Linked DNA regions of Saccharomyces cerevisiae S288C. The main gene of each other region encodes a partner of the protein of the gene in region 2 in a complex. Each region holds a gene or a part of one and is shown on either strand. Other genes may lie near its edges. The genes, in order: BEM3 and EPO1. A codon is read from its position in the direction of its gene.

The links.
Region 1: the proteins of EPO1 (region 2) and BEM3 are in contact, whole or in part, in a crystal structure (PDB 6LP3), measured with the Saccharomyces cerevisiae proteins. Residues at the interface, in NP_013843.1 of Saccharomyces cerevisiae: Asp870, Lys873, Glu874, Lys877, Lys878, Lys881, Gln884, Leu885, Gln888, Leu889, Glu892, Arg896, Glu900, Leu903, Glu907; in NP_015210.1 of Saccharomyces cerevisiae: Phe53 (codon at 3,611), Thr54 (codon at 3,614), Ile57 (codon at 3,623), Lys58 (codon at 3,626), Leu61 (codon at 3,635), Gln64 (codon at 3,644), Glu65 (codon at 3,647), Thr68 (codon at 3,656), Glu69 (codon at 3,659), Ser72 (codon at 3,668), Leu73 (codon at 3,671), Val76 (codon at 3,680), Met79 (codon at 3,689), Asn83 (codon at 3,701), Ser87 (codon at 3,713), Val90 (codon at 3,722).

What each region holds. Positions count from the first base shown.
Region 1 is NC_001148.4:330,021-338,940, reverse strand, and holds BEM3 (GTPase-activating protein BEM3), read left to right. Parts: upstream 1-3,454; coding exon 3,455-6,841; downstream 6,842-8,920. Other genes in the region: PEX25 (Pex25p), read left to right, coding at 321-1,505; YPL113C (glyoxylate reductase), read left to right, coding at 1,798-2,988; HOS3 (histone deacetylase), read right to left, coding at 7,242-8,920. UniProt on the Saccharomyces cerevisiae protein: GTPase-activating protein (GAP) for CDC42 and less efficiently for RHO1. Negative regulator of the pheromone-response pathway through the STE20 protein kinase.
Region 2 is NC_001145.3:509,127-518,046, forward strand, and holds EPO1 (Epo1p), read left to right. Parts: upstream 1-5,329; coding exon 5,330-8,161; downstream 8,162-8,920. Other genes in the region: bifunctional phosphoribosylaminoimidazolecarboxamide formyltransferase/IMP cyclohydrolase ADE17, read right to left, coding at 1-154; 60S ribosomal protein eL15 RPL15B, read right to left, coding at 608-1,222; YMR122C (uncharacterized protein), read right to left, coding at 1,575-1,949; NCW1 (Ncw1p), read left to right, coding at 2,189-2,443; PKR1 (Pkr1p), read left to right, coding at 4,467-4,835; STO1 (Sto1p), read left to right, coding at 8,413-8,437, 8,760-8,920.

The DNA.
Region 1 (8,920 bases), on a different chromosome or scaffold from region 2:
GCTAAACTCACATGATTTAGCAGCGCCGTGGCGCAGTGGAAGCGCGCAGGGCTCATAACCCTGATGTCCTCGGATCGAAACCGAGCGGCGCTAAATTTATTTTTTTCTTTTTACTCTTCATTTTTTTTCCAGGTCGGTGATAGTATATGAAATTCCGGTGGGATTGGGCTTATTATTTCAGGTTATATAATTTTTGAAATACGTTTTTCTTCTTTCTTCTCAGAATCATCGGTAATTTGTATGCTGGAGAAAGTAACAAATAGAGTCGATATCCTCAACTTCCCTGTAAGTCTTCACCTATAGAAACTGGTCGTAAAACAATGAGTCAGTTTGGCACGACAGATATCGTTTCCGGTTCAGAAACACCACCTTATTCTGGGGCAAGTTACCAGGACGCCCAGGATGACAATACCCATCCACATTCATCAGACGCCGGTGCAGAGAAGTTCAGTGCAGGCAGTGGAAGCGAGTCGCATACTGAATCCTCGAGAAGTGATGATGAGGATTCTCAAGCAAAAACAAAGATGGTGGATAATATTACCATCTTAAAATATATATTGGATTCTCTATCTGGTAGAGACAAATTAGCCAAAATTATCAAATACGCTCTGGATATATTAAAACTGTTTATCGAAAAGTCTAAGCGAAATTTAACTGTTTTGGACCCTTCCGTATTAACGTACTATACCAAGATTTTGAAAAATCTGACTGTAAAAGTCGCACTAAGGCATCCAATCACGGTAATTAAAGTACTTCTCCTGTCTCTTTTGAGAAATTTTGACAAGAAAATTGATTTTATCAGTCAACAATTAAGTACTTTTAGATATATTTTAAGGTTTGGCGGCACACCATTCCGAGTGTGCAGTTTCTTGGGGAAATTCAATAAAACCAGAAAGTGCAACTTTCAAATTGACCAAATTAAGAAAATATGGTTTAATGAAGCTTCATTGAGAGAATTTTTGGACTTGTATTATGGTATCTTTGATGAATTAGACTTGCTATACAAATTGAAAATATGGACAAATAAATCATTCTATTCCTTTGTCAGTAGACAAGAGTCTCTTGCATGGCAATACGACATTCTTTTAAGCTTGAAGGACCATTGGCTCAACCTGCAAAGCTTACAGAAGAGACAATTAGAATTGGAAGTGCAACTAAAAGTTCAAAATAACGCGTTACTACTCTCACCCATACTGATGCATCAGGCCCATAAAGACGATGGCTCACAATCGCCAATTAGGAAACAGTTGTTAAATGACCTAAATGTTAATAACGACGCAGAGGTGTTAATACACAAACAACTAAAGGCCATCAAGGATGAAAAGACACTTGTTTATTTAGATATTGCAAGATTATCGTTTGATTGCATGGCTAATACATCAGATATTCTAAATTTAAAAACTCCAAAGGGAACGTATGCCGTTCTGTCCCTGGGATCCGGCTTAACTGGACTGGTTAAACTTTGGATAACAACAAAGAGGTCACTTTGCTCTTCAAAAGATTGATATATAAAAATATGTATACATATAGATATGTACATATATATGTGGCGAATAATGTTTTACCTCTGCATTTGTATTGTTATTTGATTCGTTGAATAAGATAGTTTGGCGCTCGGTTTTTGCTCTTTTTCTTCCGTTTTTATGTCATTGGGGTGGCGGTAGTCATTCCGTTTTACGGTATGTTTATTCTGACACTTTGACGCAGATCTAAAAGGTGGAGTGTGGAGTACAAATAGCTCTCTCTCAAATACAGAAAAATACTTGAGTGTACAAAAGTAGCAACCTTTAAATAACAATGATTACTTCAATTGACATAGCAGATGTAACTTATTCTGCCAAACCAAGAATTTTGGTGCCTTATAAAACCCAATGGGAAGTCGCCAGTCATCTTCCTGAATATCGCAAACTGGCAGAAAGGGTAGAATTCTATAAATATGAGATGTCCACAAAGGATGATTTTGTTAAATTTTTGGAAACTCATAGAATAAACGGCTTTTGGCTCACTGAGGAGTTTTTCACTGTGTTAGGAAACCCTTCGAGTTATATTGAATTCTTCCCCGCATCTTTAAAAGTAATCCTTGTACCATGGGTCGGCTGTGACTTTATTGACGGTAAGTTATTAAGATCGAAAGGTATCACTTTATGCAACATTGGACCACATGCTGCTGACCATGTCACAGAATTGGCTATTTTCCTAGCAATTAGCTGCTTTAGAATGACTTCATTTTGGGAATATTGTTTTAAATACGTGGAAAATGGTAATGTTGAACAGTGTAAGAAATATATCTCTAGTGACTCGTATGAAATTGTTACAGATAGTTACCACGGTCAGGAAATGAAATTTCCCTCTCGAACAGACAAATGCAAGCCTAACAAGGATAGGAAAGTGGTACATTTAGCAGAAAAGTACACGGTTGGCGGGAAAAAAATGGAATCTCCAATGAATAAAAAAGTTCTAATATTGGGGTTTGGCTCCATCGGACAAAATATAGGGTCTAACTTGCACAAAGTGTTCAACATGAGCATTGAATACTACAAAAGGACCGGTCCCGTCCAAAAGAGTCTACTTGATTACAACGCTAAGTACCATTCTGATCTAGATGATCCAAATACTTGGAAGAATGCGGATTTGATCATTTTGGCCTTGCCCAGTACGGCCTCTACAAACAATATTATCAATCGTAAAAGTTTGGCCTGGTGTAAAGATGGTGTCAGGATAGTTAACGTTGGGAGAGGCACATGCATAGATGAAGATGTGCTACTAGACGCTCTTGAATCTGGAAAAGTGGCAAGCTGTGGTCTCGATGTGTTTAAAAATGAGGAAACACGCGTTAAGCAAGAGTTACTTCGCAGATGGGATGTTACAGCTTTGCCACATATCGGCAGCACAGTTGCCGACATGGTCATAAAGCAGACACTCATCACACTCGAGAATGTGCAGGACATATTTGTCGAGGGAGGTGATGGTAAGTATGTGCTCAACTGAACCATTCATTATGTTACAAAGATAGCATTTCAATTAGGATTACATACGTATATGCATTGCTCTTTATACCACAACTCTAAGAATGTCGAAAGTTATATGGCGGCGGTGATGTTGGAAAAAAAACGCGGCCGTTTTATAAAGAACAATAATCGTCTGACTAGGTAAAGTACCAGATAAGAACCGTTTTTATTGCGCGTATTGGTATGTTTTTTAAACGGAATTTTTCAAGATTGTTAAATACATCAACGATATATCCATTTTAATCACCGTTTACCTTTGTGTGTTAGCTTTGTATCTGGAAGTTTTTTCTCTTTTCTTCTTTGTCCTTGCCTTCTACCATTTTGCCTTTTGTTCGAGTTCGTGATTACATCAGGCATATACAACATCACGTTTGTTGAAACACTGGCTGCTAGGAGTATCTGTGTGTATATTCTAGAATAAACTCACACTCAACTAACAGCACGCAATGACAGATAATTTGACCACAACTCATGGTGGTAGTACCACCCTTGAATTGTTGGCGCAGTACAATGATCATAGATCCAAAAAGGACAAATCTATAGAACATATAGAAAAAGGAACATGTTCAGGAAAAGAAAGAAATCCGTCCTATGATGAAATTTTTACGGAAAACATTAAGCTAAAGCTACAAGTCCAAGAATATGAAACTGAAATTGAGAGTTTGGAAAAGGTTATTGATATGTTACAAAAAAACAGAGAAGCTTCCTTAGAAGTTGTGCTTGAGCAAGTTCAAAATGACTCAAGAGATTCATACGTTAACGATCAATCATTTGTGTTACCCCCAAGATCTGCTGAAAGGAAAGCGCATATCAAGAGTCTTAATTTGCCAATACCGACATTGTCCCCTCCATTGCAACAAGGTTCAGACGTTGCACTTGAAACAAGTGTAACGCCTACAGTACCTCAAATAGGTGTTACATCAAATACTTCAATAAGTAGGAAGCATTTACAGAACATGATACTAAACGATGAAATAGAAGCAAATAGTAGCTTCTCATCTCCCAAAATTATCAATAGATCTGTCTCAAGCCCTACAAAAATACATTCAGAACAGTTGGCTAGCCCAGCTGCCTCTGTTACCTATACGACGTCTAGGATAACCATAAAATCACCTAATAAAGGTTCGAAATCTCCATTGCAAGAACGTTTGCGTTCCCCTCAAAATCCTAACAGAATGACGGCTGTTATCAACAACCATTTGCATTCTCCATTAAAGGCCAGTACCTCTAATAATTTAGATGAGCTGACTGAAAGTAAAAGTCAACAACTAACTAATGACGCGATACAAAAAAATGACCGCGTTTATTCTTCTATAACATCCTCTGCATACACTACTGGAACTCCTACTTCAGCAGCCAAAAGTCCATCATCCCTTTTGGAAGTCAAGGAGGGTGAAAACAAGGCTTTGGGTTTCTCTCCAGCATCTAAAGAAAAACTTGACGACTTCACCCAATTACTTGACTCCTCATTTGGCGAAGAGGATCTAGTCAATACGGACAGTAAAGATCCTCTGTCCATAAAATCCACGATTAACGAATCTTTACCCCCACCTCCAGCGCCTCCAACTTTTTTCTCACCTACTTCTAGTGGAAATATAAAAAACTCTACTCCTTTATCAAGCCATTTGGCTTCTCCGGTTATCTTGAATAAAAAGGATGATAATTTTGGTGCTCAAAGTGCAAAAAATTTAAAGAAACCTGTGTTAACTTCATCACTCCCCAATCTTTCTACAAAATTGTCAACAACAAGTCAAAATGCTTCTCTTCCTCCAAATCCTCCCGTGGAAAGTTCATCAAAACAAAAACAACTTGGAGAAACGGCATCCATCCATTCAACCAATACCTTGAATACATTTAGCTCAACACCCCAAGGTTCGTTGAAGACACTTAGAAGACCTCATGCAAGTAGCGTGAGCACCGTGAAGTCTGTGGCCCAAAGTCTTAAGTCGGATATTCCATTATTCGTTCAACCGGAGGATTTTGGCACTATCCAGATTGAAGTACTGAGCACATTGTACAGGGATAATGAAGATGATTTATCCATTTTAATTGCAATCATAGACAGGAAATCCGGTAAGGAGATGTTTAAATTTTCAAAATCTATTCATAAAGTTCGCGAATTAGATGTATATATGAAATCACATGTTCCCGATTTACCATTGCCCACGTTACCTGATAGACAATTATTTCAGACTTTATCACCTACAAAAGTGGATACGCGAAAGAACATATTGAATCAGTATTATACAAGCATATTCAGTGTCCCTGAATTTCCCAAAAATGTTGGTTTAAAAATCGCCCAATTTATTAGTACAGATACAGTAATGACACCTCCAATGATGGATGATAATGTGAAAGACGGATCACTTTTGCTGAGAAGACCAAAGACTCTAACAGGTAATAGTACATGGAGAGTTCGGTACGGTATTTTGCGCGATGATGTTTTACAATTGTTTGACAAAAATCAGTTGACTGAAACTATTAAATTGAGACAATCTTCTATAGAACTTATACCCAATCTCCCTGAAGATAGATTTGGAACGAGAAATGGGTTTTTGATCACTGAGCATAAGAAAAGCGGACTGTCAACCTCAACAAAGTATTATATTTGTACTGAAACGTCGAAGGAACGTGAATTATGGCTTTCTGCGTTTAGTGATTACATTGATCCTTCACAAAGTTTATCGTTATCTAGCTCGAGGAATGCAAACGATACTGATTCTGCATCTCACTTGAGCGCAGGAACACACCATTCTAAATTTGGAAACGCAACTATCTCAGCAACCGATACTCCATCATATGTCACTGATTTGACCCAAGAATATAATAATAATAACAATATTAGTAATAGTAGCAATAACATTGCTAATAGCGATGGTATTGACTCAAACCCATCTTCTCACTCTAACTTCCTAGCAAGTTCAAGCGGGAATGCAGAGGAGGAGAAGGATAGTAGGAGAGCCAAAATGAGAAGTTTATTCCCTTTTAAAAAATTAACCGGCCCGGCGAGTGCAATGAACCATATAGGTATTACAATTTCAAATGATTCGGATTCTCCAACATCTCCTGACTCTATCATTAAGTCACCAAGCAAAAAATTAATGGAAGTATCCTCTTCGTCAAATTCTTCTACGGGTCCACATGTGTCCACTGCAATATTTGGCTCGTCACTAGAAACGTGTTTAAGATTGAGTTCGCATAAGTACCAAAACGTTTACGATTTACCGAGTGTAGTTTATCGTTGCTTAGAGTATCTTTACAAAAACCGTGGTATCCAGGAAGAAGGCATATTTAGACTAAGCGGGTCCAGTACAGTTATCAAAACTTTACAAGAAAGGTTTGATAAAGAGTACGATGTAGATTTATGTCGGTACAATGAAAGTATTGAAGCTAAAGATGATGAGGCATCTCCAAGTCTTTACATTGGTGTGAATACTGTAAGTGGGTTACTAAAGTTGTACTTGAGAAAGTTGCCCCATTTATTATTTGGTGACGAACAATTTTTGTCGTTTAAAAGAGTAGTTGATGAAAATCATAATAATCCTGTTCAAATATCATTGGGGTTTAAGGAACTTATTGAATCTGGCCTAGTTCCTCACGCTAACCTATCGTTGATGTATGCTCTTTTTGAACTGCTGGTAAGGATCAATGAGAATAGTAAGTTTAATAAGATGAATCTAAGAAATTTATGCATCGTGTTTTCCCCAACTCTAAATATTCCAATTAGTATGCTTCAACCATTCATCACTGACTTTGCGTGTATATTTCAGGGTGGTGAACCAGTTAAAGAAGAGGAAAGGGAGAAAGTAGATATACATATTCCTCAGGTTTGATGGTCTAAAATTGTAGAAATATAACGTTGCCAGTAAACCTCCATTGATTTAATGATAGAAAGAGGGCGAGATGTATAGAGGCTTCTTTCTTTCAACGATATATTTGTAATAATAAAAAAATGTCAGGCTGATAAAGCTTATAGAGTGACTGTCTTTTTATTCCTCAAATGTTATTTACAATACCATATAATAAAATTAGTATATTGTCAAATAAAATAAGAGAAAAAAACTAACTTCTTGACCAAATGGTCGAAGAGCTGAGATAAAGAAGGAAAAAAATTAAAATTACTAACTATACAAGGAAATATAAAAATAGAAAAATTGTGTTACTAAATACAAAAAAGTAATATATGCGTCACTTCTTTAGTGGGTTCAAGACAACATTATATATGCATTGGTATCACCATCTTCCACCACTTCTTGTTGTATGTTTTCTTGAAACATGAGAAATCATTGATATATCACTATCGTCATAAGTTGGTGTATTTGCGTTTTGAGGCTGTCTTATGCGATGCGGTTTCGTATTGGAGGGAATTTTATACATTCCATTACCTTGTAGACGGCGTTGGTGCGAGTTTTTCCAATTTTTTTCTTTTAGCTCATGGTCTGAATCTTCATCACCTTTTTTTTCAATTTCTAAGGTCTCCAAATGTCTAGAAATATCATCAATGGTAATATCCTCCACCGTGCGATTGAAAGTTTTGTTCAATTCTTCATCGTAAACGTATTCTTCATCTTCATCCTCACTGGAAAATTCTTGTTGCAAAAACGGAATTTGGGTTTCAGCTGCTCTATTATTTGACGAGAGCTGCTTGACCTTGGTATCGCTTCTAATTTCCCTTTGTTCCTGTTTTTCCGTGCTTCTCGGCTTGTTTTCATGAAGTTCTTTTTCTGGGGAAGCGTTGCTTCTATGAGATCTGATTATTCTTTGAGCAATTGTCGACGTGGATGCTGGTTCGACAGTAGCCTTTAGTAGAGAATTAGAAGGTGCGCTGTTAACTGCGTCTTTAAAAATGATATCATCGAATTCCGGTATCATTGCTCGTCCCAGCCTGATAACTTCTTCTGCCCATATTCTTATGACATCTTTTGCTCTTTTTGTCTTATAGGGTTTCCAAGCCGGTTTGCAACCACGAACAATCTCTTTAACGACTTGTTCAGACCCCCATTCTTTAACCCAATCTTGGTTTTGTAAACCGATCAAATGTGCGAAAACACCAGAACATATAGCTTTATCAGAATATCCACCCTCCATTAGAGACAAAACTTTGCCATGACAGTGCATTTGTGCTAATTTCAATGCATCTTTGGTGAACGTTGTATAAAAACTTGTAGGAACGTTGACACTATGCCTTTGCATTGAAGTTTGCTCAAATTCTGATGCATCGAAACCTGCGCTTATGACAACCAAACCTTTGAATGGTCTCCCTTGTTGATTCATTTCTAGTTTTGCGCTCCTGAAAAATTCATCTGCTTTAGCAAATAAAGTTCTATATTTTGTCCTGTATAATACATTGAATTCTTCTTCGGTTGTCCATTTGGATAAGTGAATATTCCAGATGTTTAGGTCATGAGAGTTCATGATACAGGTAGATGCATTTTTAATGTTCTCCTTTGTGGCAAATCCCGACTCTGTTGGAAATGAATTTATATCATGCATAGAAAAATAACCGACTTTGGGAAATTCGGCAAATTTCTTACCAAAATCATCATAAGATGAATCTTCAGGTTCCTCCTCAGGTTTGAAACCCGCACGTTTCCAGCAAATGTCTTGGGTCCCATCACCGTGGTGTAGATCGAAATCAAGCACGACAACATGCGTGACGTTGTAAGTATCATACGCATATTCTATGGCTACATGTGCATTGTTTAACAGACAAAAGCCGGATGGTGTACCATAGTGGCAATGATGACCAGGAGGCCGTATAGCAACAAAAGCTCTGTTACTAATATGTTCTGCAGATGGTCCTTTGAAAATTGAGTCAACACCAGTTTCAATGGCCCCAATTGTTCCCTGTAGAGCTTTAATTGTCTTTGAGCTCAAGTATATATCACCTGAGTTCCAAGTATCTGGGACTT
Region 2 (8,920 bases):
CGTCTTCGATTGGAAAACCAGCGTCACGAATCATACGAGCAGTACCACCGGAGGCGAGAATACGAACGTTCTTCTCGATGAGGCCTCTGGCTAAATCAAGTAGACCTGTCTTGTCATAGACGGATAGGATTGCGGTTTTTGTGTAATTGGCCATATTTGATGGTGATATGTGCTTTGATGTCCAAGCTAGCAAAACTACTTCAAGGGCTATTAGTTGCTGGTAAGAAAGATTTTAGGTACTACACTAAAGGTTAAAACGAGCGTACATTTATATACATAGATCCGAACGTGATATGCACATCCGAATATTAACAAGTTATGAGAGGAGTCAATTCATTTCTGGGCACATCAGGGTACACACATTGTAGGGTAGGATCTTCTTTATAAATGATAAGTTGACTTCTGCAATGACTTAGTTGGCATGATTAATATTGTTCGTTCCGCTAAGGAAAAAAGAGTCAAAAACTGCAAATTCAAATTGCGTATGCTGCCAAAGAGCGAAGAATAATAAAAAAAAAATAAGTCGAAGAAAAGGAACGATGAAGTAATCAGGTTGAAAAAATGTTCATAGTGCATTATTATTGATCTATATACGGTTCTAACTATTTCATTTTCTATACCTCCATAACGACAGAGTATTTTGTCTTTTCCAGGTCTTTCTTCTGCCGGCCTTGGTGTTGTTGAATTTGTGTCCCTTGTTGATACCCCTGGATTTCTTACCGGTGGCAGTCAAGCCTCTAGCTTCACGATGCTTATGGACGGGATTGCAGATCCAGTTGTACCGAGCATCTCTTCTGATAGCCTTGTGTTGAGGATCAACCAATATAACTTCGAAGTACTTGTAAGTAGAGTCTTGGTTGACCCAGTAGGAGTTCAAGACTCTCAAGTTAGCAGCACGACGGCCAACTCTTTCTTCAGCGGTAGCTCTCAAGGATCTTTGGTATTTCAATTCATTGACACCTTGGTTAGTTGGCTTACCGTAAGTAGCACCCTTTGGAACAGGTCTCTTTCTGTTACCGCGTCTAACCCTGACACGGTAGATAACGAAACCTTGCTTGGCTTTGTAGCCTAGTCTCCTAGCCTTGTCTGGTCTAGTTGGTCTAGCGGCTCTGTGAATGACATTTTTTTGTCTGTATTCCCAGACCCTGACTCTTTGCAAGAATCTCAAAACATCAGATTGCTTCTTTCTTTCTAATTCTTCTAAATATTTGTAGGCTCCCATTGCTTGTGTGGTAGGTAATTTGTGACTGTCTTTACGGTAGCTTTCGCCGATTACTATTGCCGCTAACTTCTCAAGAGTGAATGAAATTATCAATGGCTCCGGTTAATTGAAAACGTGGAAAAGTATCGAAAGGAACAAGAAAGATGTTTTCCGGGTAACGACATATGGAGCATCAAGACAGATACATCTCTACTGACTACATGTTTGTATCATCATTTGAAGAGATTGGAGAAGTATTCTAGCAATCGGTGCAAAAAATAAGAGTAAAGAAAAAAGACGTTTGTTTCCTTAAAGGAGCTGGAGGAGCCTGTTTTGGATAGCGGCGTAGTCGCTTTATTAATTTGGTTATACTTTAAACGCAAAGATGGCAGTACGAAACCAGCAATGCAGTGATTATATATTCCCTACTAAGGAAAGTTGCGCATCCAATGGGAAACATTTTCCTGATCTGTACCTTTGGCAACCTGAATATGCGGTTGGCTGGCAAATAAGGTAGCGTGGAGGCGGTGTTTTTGCCACAAACCAGTACGCCCAATCTATCCCTGCGAGCCACCGTAATGATGCAAATTGCAGTAAAGCAGCGCTTAGCCTCCAGCCGAAATTTACTTCCGTCGAATGCACGTTGGCCAGAATGTCTCTCGTCCCCCTTGTGCTGCGCAAATAACAACGCGTTGGTGCGTTCTGGAACGCGAAGATTGCGAAACACGCCTCCGAACTGACGTAGCATAGAGTCTTTCACAGTATTGCCTAATGCGGAAATCACATTGCCATATTGGTGAAAAATACAATGGCTAGTTTGATCTATTTTTGGGTTATGGTGTCTCGAGCGTAAAAAGTGAAAAAAAAGTATATAAACGATCTGAATTTAAGGCAGAATTCTGTTTGCCGCTCTCAGAATGTACTGTTAATTACTGAGGTCTCCATCAAACACAAACCCCAACCTAATCGCAAATAACCTGAATAAAAATGGCCAGCAGTACTTCCACTTCCGCTTCCGCTTCCTCCTCCATCAAAACTAACAGTGCCTTAGTTTCCAACAATGTCGTTGCCGCCTCTTCCGTCTCTGCTACTTCTACTGCTAGTTCCAGTGCCGCTAAGAACACTACTTCCAGTTCAAAGAACGCTGCTCCAGGCATGGTTGCAAACCCTGTTTCCTCGAAGTACGGTATCATCATGGCCGCATTTGCTGCTGTTTCTTTCGTCCTAGGCACCGGTATTTAAGAAGTTTCTAAAAGCCTTTTTTTTTCCTTCTGCTTATTGTACTATCAAAGGGAACGATTGATTAACAGAAAAATTACATAAAAATCATATCATAATGGACTCGCGGTTGACGCCTAGTTAAACCAATGAAGAGGTGGGCGAACTTGTGGGAGTTATATATATTTAGGCCAATTGGGCCATTGCATGTTTCCTATAATATATTTTAATATAAAAATTTATTTATTAATACAGCAACTCATTAGATTAATCGAGTGGTGGTAAGGCTTTTTTTGCTCGCAATGCGAGCACGTGACAGAAAGTGAGAATGAACGTCTGACATTGCTAGTGTCACGTTCAGAAAACGAGAAGACGGGTAAAACAAAAATATTGATGATTGTTGGTTAGCAATATCAAATTCATTGAAGGAGGTCACAACCGCGAGAGAAAGTAAGATGTCATGTTTTTGAATATGAACCTGGAGCTCGCATATAACTCTTTCCAGTGGCACCTTTAGATTTATTTTAACTCTGAAATGTAGGTTTTTTTTTTTTTAGACAAGTCACGATAAGTAGTTGTTGTTAGCGACTTTATTCACAGCATTTTTTTATGTAGCATTTGTAGAAATAGGGGAATTATATCGGAGTACTCAAGAAACTAACGGGCTTCTGAGTAAAGGGGCTTCCCGATGTAATGGCATCCAAGGTACTTATCTAACTGATTTTTGATTGGAAGAAACATTTAGAATGCAACCTCAATTGTGGGCAATTACGACCAATGACAGCCAAATCCAGTAAGGTTTCAAAGGGATAATTTACTGAGAAAACAGATTTACTATTCTGGAGGCAGGAGTGATATATTCTTATTCTTCCTATCCATGGGAATAACGATGCACTTTTTTATGGGTAAGGTGTGCTCCCAGTTTTTCTTACCAAGAAGTGTGCAATTGGTACGGTAATATCGTATTTGTTTGCACTGATGTACCCACGCTTTAGCCATTTAAGTTATTACGAATCTACTCTGTCTATTTTTTTTTTACCAACTCCCTACCCAGAGGGAAAATGCGTATGCAATCTAAAATACTTTATTTCCCATTCCGTGCCTTAGGCAAACACAAATGGATTTTGGCTGCATACCGAGGGGTCTAGGTGGTGATGAGGTCGCTACAACCCAGGATGGTTATCTCGTTTCTTCGAATTTCCGCAGCAAAGAGGACCCTTATTGCAGGGATGGAACCTTTTCTGCACAAAGCAAAATCCTCAGGATGTTTCTCTCCTCTGTCTTTCTTTGCCGAGCTCCATCGTGCTAGCGCATCGGACAGGAAGCAGTGAAATACAAGAAAAGTATACAAGCAGTATTCCTGCTCAAGAACCCAGTTTTCAGTTATAGTTTCCACTCCTTTCAATAGATGGGAAACTATATATCCATTAACTAAAATGGCCAGTCAGACTATCTCTTCTCCTCACTAGTGCCTAATCTCTGGTGTCGCCACTCCTGCTGCTGCTAATTATAAGGGCAAAGTCAGACCATCACTTACATTGAGGTGAATATTAAAACCAGTGAAGGTTCTGTTTTTCTCGGGAGTATTTCCGGCAGTAACACCGTTACTTATACCAAAGAGAATTTTTCTGTTGGTATGATTACTGACCCTGTCTGCTCGAAGCACGGTATCATCATTTACCGTTGTTTCTTTCGTCCTAGATATCGGTGTCTCAGAAACTCCAATTGAAGATGTACAGGTGATTAATTACGTCTTTTTATCAATCTATTTACCTATATATTTCAATTTTGATTTTTATTTGGCGAGTGACATGTGAAAACTTTGCCTATGAACCTGAATAGCGCATTCATATTTTAAGAACATGGTAGGGTATAGCAGATGTTCTTTAATTTTCTTTGACTGCGTTTACCCGGCGTTTTTTGCTTGACTGAAAATCAAATGAAGAAAAATAGAGATGGTCTTTTCTTTTTGTCATATCCAAGAACACGTCCATCTAATTGATTAGTGCCAAAAATCGCAGGGATATAACTTCGAAAATTTCTCAAAATGGCCAATTTTTTTGTTAGACTGTGGGAAAGTGTATTTGAACCAGGGACCTCCCCCCAGCTGATCATCGCCACACACGTATCTTTTGTTGCACTACTACTGACCCTCATCTGGCTCATCTATGCCACAAACGGGAATATCCACTTCTATGCTCTTTTCTGTATATCACTTTTACTATGGATTACCGTTATCTGGTTTATAAACGAATTATCACACGTCAAATTGAAGGATAATGATGAGCTGGATAAAGATGCCAATAAAAAGGACGACAGTGCCATCAAGGAAGACAGCGAAGACAAGCAAGAAAGCGGGAAATCCACTAGTACTGCCAGACGGACTCAAGCACAATCTAGGTCAAGAAAAGCATAGACAGATACATAATTGACTACATAATTATCTCTGTTATTAGTATATCACAGAGCTTCCGGGTAAATGTCCGCAATTGTAAATTTTTTTGTCCGCTTCAGGGTCTCCCCTGATATTTTTTTTTTTTCAAAAATTCCTTTTTTTTAAATCAAATTTTGGGCTCAATTATGGACAAATGAAGCACATGCAAAGAGTTAACGCGTGCGACTGAATAGAACAACTCTTTCAGCATCGCAAACCCTTCAAATTGTGAATAAATAGGCATTTCAAGTAACTGTGTCAGCAGCACATTGCATAGGAATTCTGATTTTTTGTTTTAGTGACTGCCCTCCTAATTTTTTTTTTTTTAGTTTACGGCTATAGCTAAATTTGGAGCTTTCTTTCATTAATTTTCACCGAGCTATTAATAACCCTACAAAAAGAGCAGAGAGGTACAGCCTGATCCGATAAAGCAGTGGGATAAAAAGTACTCAAAGACTATTTATAAAAAGTTCAAAATGGATGCAGGTTTATCGACCATGGCAACAAGAAACGGTCAGTCTTCTGCTAGAGTTAAATTGAGAAATAACCTCTTGAATAATGATATAGGAAATATTGACATTAGGGATGAAACACCTATTTCAAGGAACGGGAATGACAGCAATATTAACATCCAGCCTTCTTCCGTGCCGCAGCAGCAGCAGCAGCAGCAGCAATACTACCGTAATGGCATGAATGAGGCTCCAATACAAGCGCCACTTCAACAACGTCAAATTCCCATGCAGAATTATTCACAACAGCAACGCCAGCAACAACAGTATAATTTTGAGTATTCCAATCCACATATGAATGAGATTCCCCTCATGCAGCATAACTTCACCAAACCATCACTAAGCAATAATCGCGATAATGTTAATGGTAAGAAAGCTTCCTCATTTACCCAGAGCTCATTTTCCAATTTTTTCAAACATAAGCATCAATTTGGGAAGTCAAAGAAAAACACTAAGGGGACAGGAGGTGGTGGAGATGGTGATGATGACGATGAGGTTATCTTGGATGATTCTGCAAACTCCGACCTAACATTCAATGACATTCAGACCTTCGGTCACAAGGGCGGTGACAAATATGGATATGGTGGTGATTCCACTCCTATCATTCCAACATTGGTGACTAAAGACCGCGGCAATATGAGTAATACTGAGTATAGGAAGTACATTACTAATCAAAGGAAAACCGCAATGAATGCCATGGCTAAACAAACTAAAAATGGTACATTAGCCTCGTTGCCTCCGAGAGCAATGTCTTTGCAAAGTTTCCCGAATGGTAATCCTTTAATGCAAGCACCCACTCCTCATCCTAGATTTCAACCGAATAAAATGGTGAGCGCTAATTATTCGAGATCAAATTCGTTGATGAGTGGACCTCCCGGACAATTTCGACAGCCGCAGCAACAAAGAATGCTACCGATGAACAACTACAACAATCACCCAGGTCAATTCCAGAATACCCCACCAGTAATGCCCTCTGGACAACAGCCACCTCAGCAACCACGTACTCTGTCATTAACTAATGGCCCAAGATATTCACCCCAAAATCCTCGGCCATTCGCAGGTCATCAGCAGATATCACAAAGACAACAACAACAACAACAACAACTTCAACTTCATCCAATGTCTGAAGGCTATCGGACAATGTCTCTACAAAGTCAGAACGTTCCCCAAGGGTTTAATCCATGGTCACCAAATGACAACGATCGTAAAGCTGTGTCCATGAAACAGCCAATCAGTCAATCGTCAATTTCCTCAAAGAATAATTCAGCTTATTCAATACCGAACGTACAAAACAACTCCCTGACTACATTCTCTCCGTCATCTCCTACTGATGCTACAGCAATGCCTAACTCTACAAAACAAGGATCTTCACCACTAAAAAAACAAGTGAACATTGATCAACCTATTGAAAACAAGGGAAAACTGAATGTTTTGCAATTATCCACTCCTCAACAAAACGAGTTAAAGGAAAAAGAAAGGAAGCTAGCTGAAATGGAAAAATCTTTACGTGAGAGAGAAGCACTAGTAGAAGAAAAAGAAAAGGAAAGAGCTGAGAAAAATACTGAAGCAAATGAAGAGGAGGAAATTTCACATGAATCAGACGATTTAAATTTAAGACCTGCGAGTGCGCTAGAGACTGGTTTAAAAGATCTTAAATTGGAAAGTGAAAGTGCAGTCGCCAATAGAGCGTCCTTGTCGACTTTCTCATCCACATTTAGTGATTCTCCCTCCAAGCAAAGAATCATCAATACCAGAACAGGTATGTATAAGCTAGAAAACTCTACTGATATCAATGAATACGTGACCGCACAAGAATTCCCCTCTCCCGGAAAGTATAACTCAAATTCGGATAATGGCGAAATGAATACAACGAACGAGGTCGATTTTGATTTCAATACTAGTAAAAGGGCTTCTTTGTTACAATCCATACCGGAAAGAGATCCCAAAAGAAATGTCTCAGATGCTACCATTAAGCGACGTGAATCCGATGGCAATGGCAGGAGACTAAGTAATGTCAACATATCCATGAACCAGGAAAACATCAACAATGATACTTTTCTATATAAAAAAAATAATCGCGATGGTCATTTATCAGCAGTTTCTCATATGTCCAGCTCTTCCCGTAGATCGTTCATCTCCAATACGCTGCCGTTGAATATTGATTCCGCCTCAGAATCTGATAATTTTGTACCGCATATGGATGGTTCACCCTCCAAAACAAAATCAGCCCCAGTTAGCTACGATAAGGATGGCATGAATGCTTCAGAAGAAGACTTCAGTTTTGATAATACTTTAGCCAAACCGTATGAACCGTTATATGCTAGGAGAGGAGACATAACTTCCGCCGGATCAACTAGTGGAGAAGATAGCTCTCAGCCAAAGATGATAACAATATCTGGTGAGCAATTGAATTTGATAACAGAAAACAAAGAATTAATGAATGAGTTGACACTGGTGTCTACAGAATTAGCAGAATCGATAAAAAGGGAAACTGAATTAGAAGAAAGAATACGGCTGTATGAAACCAATAATTCAGCACCATCTTTTGACGATTCTTCGAGTGTGTCTTTTTCTGACTTTGAAAAGGAACTGAGAAAAAAATCCAGTAAAATTGTGCAATTGATCCAGCAATTAAATGACGAGAGATTAAAGAGATTCATTGCGGAGGAGCAGTTATTACTCCAAGAAAATGGCACCAAACCAAGTTCTATGGAACTAGTAGGAAGAATTGAAAACTTGAATAAACTTATTGATGAGAGAGATTCAGAAATTGAAATGCTTAAAGGACGTTTACAGTAGATGAATGATGTATTTTATTGTATATATCGCTTAGTGCACCAAAATCATACTACGTAAGTATAAAATCACTTTACACGTAGAAGATGCTTTTTCAGATTGTTCTTGAAAAAGTTGAAAAAAATATAATTCACACTCAGCAACAGGTGAAAGTGTATAATGGGTAAAAAAGGAAGGACAGAAGGTATATTGCTAATCAAAACGACTTTGGTATACGCGTTTGGGGCTACAATTGCATTTTAAATATATTTAAGATGTTTAATAGAAAAAGAAGAGGAGGTATGTTTTAAAACCAATGTTTTCCAGAAGTTTCGTTCTAGAGTGTGTATATCAAGACCAATTAGGATGGTATTTCCATTTTTTGTCAGTTAGTACGGTGTGACAGAAAAGTGTACTTTTGTGGCACAGAGAAGTGGAGAAACGGTACACGTAGAATACATAACGGCAAGTAACCTCTCTTATTTTACTCTCCATCTTTACTTTGTTTTACATTCCTAGGATTATTAGGTTAGCTTGGTTTTACAAAAACTCAATTATTCAGTTTCATTCAAATTACTAACATACCCAACTTTGACTACCTTGCATATGATTTTACCGTTAGACTTCGATGAAGATGAAAATTACCGTGATTTTAGGCCTCGCATGCCTAAAAGACAGAGAATCCCACCTGTTGTACAACTGTGTAAAGAAATGATGCCCGATATTCGCACTATTGGTGAATCTGTTAAAGCTTTTGAAGATGATATCAAATTCTTGAGTGAA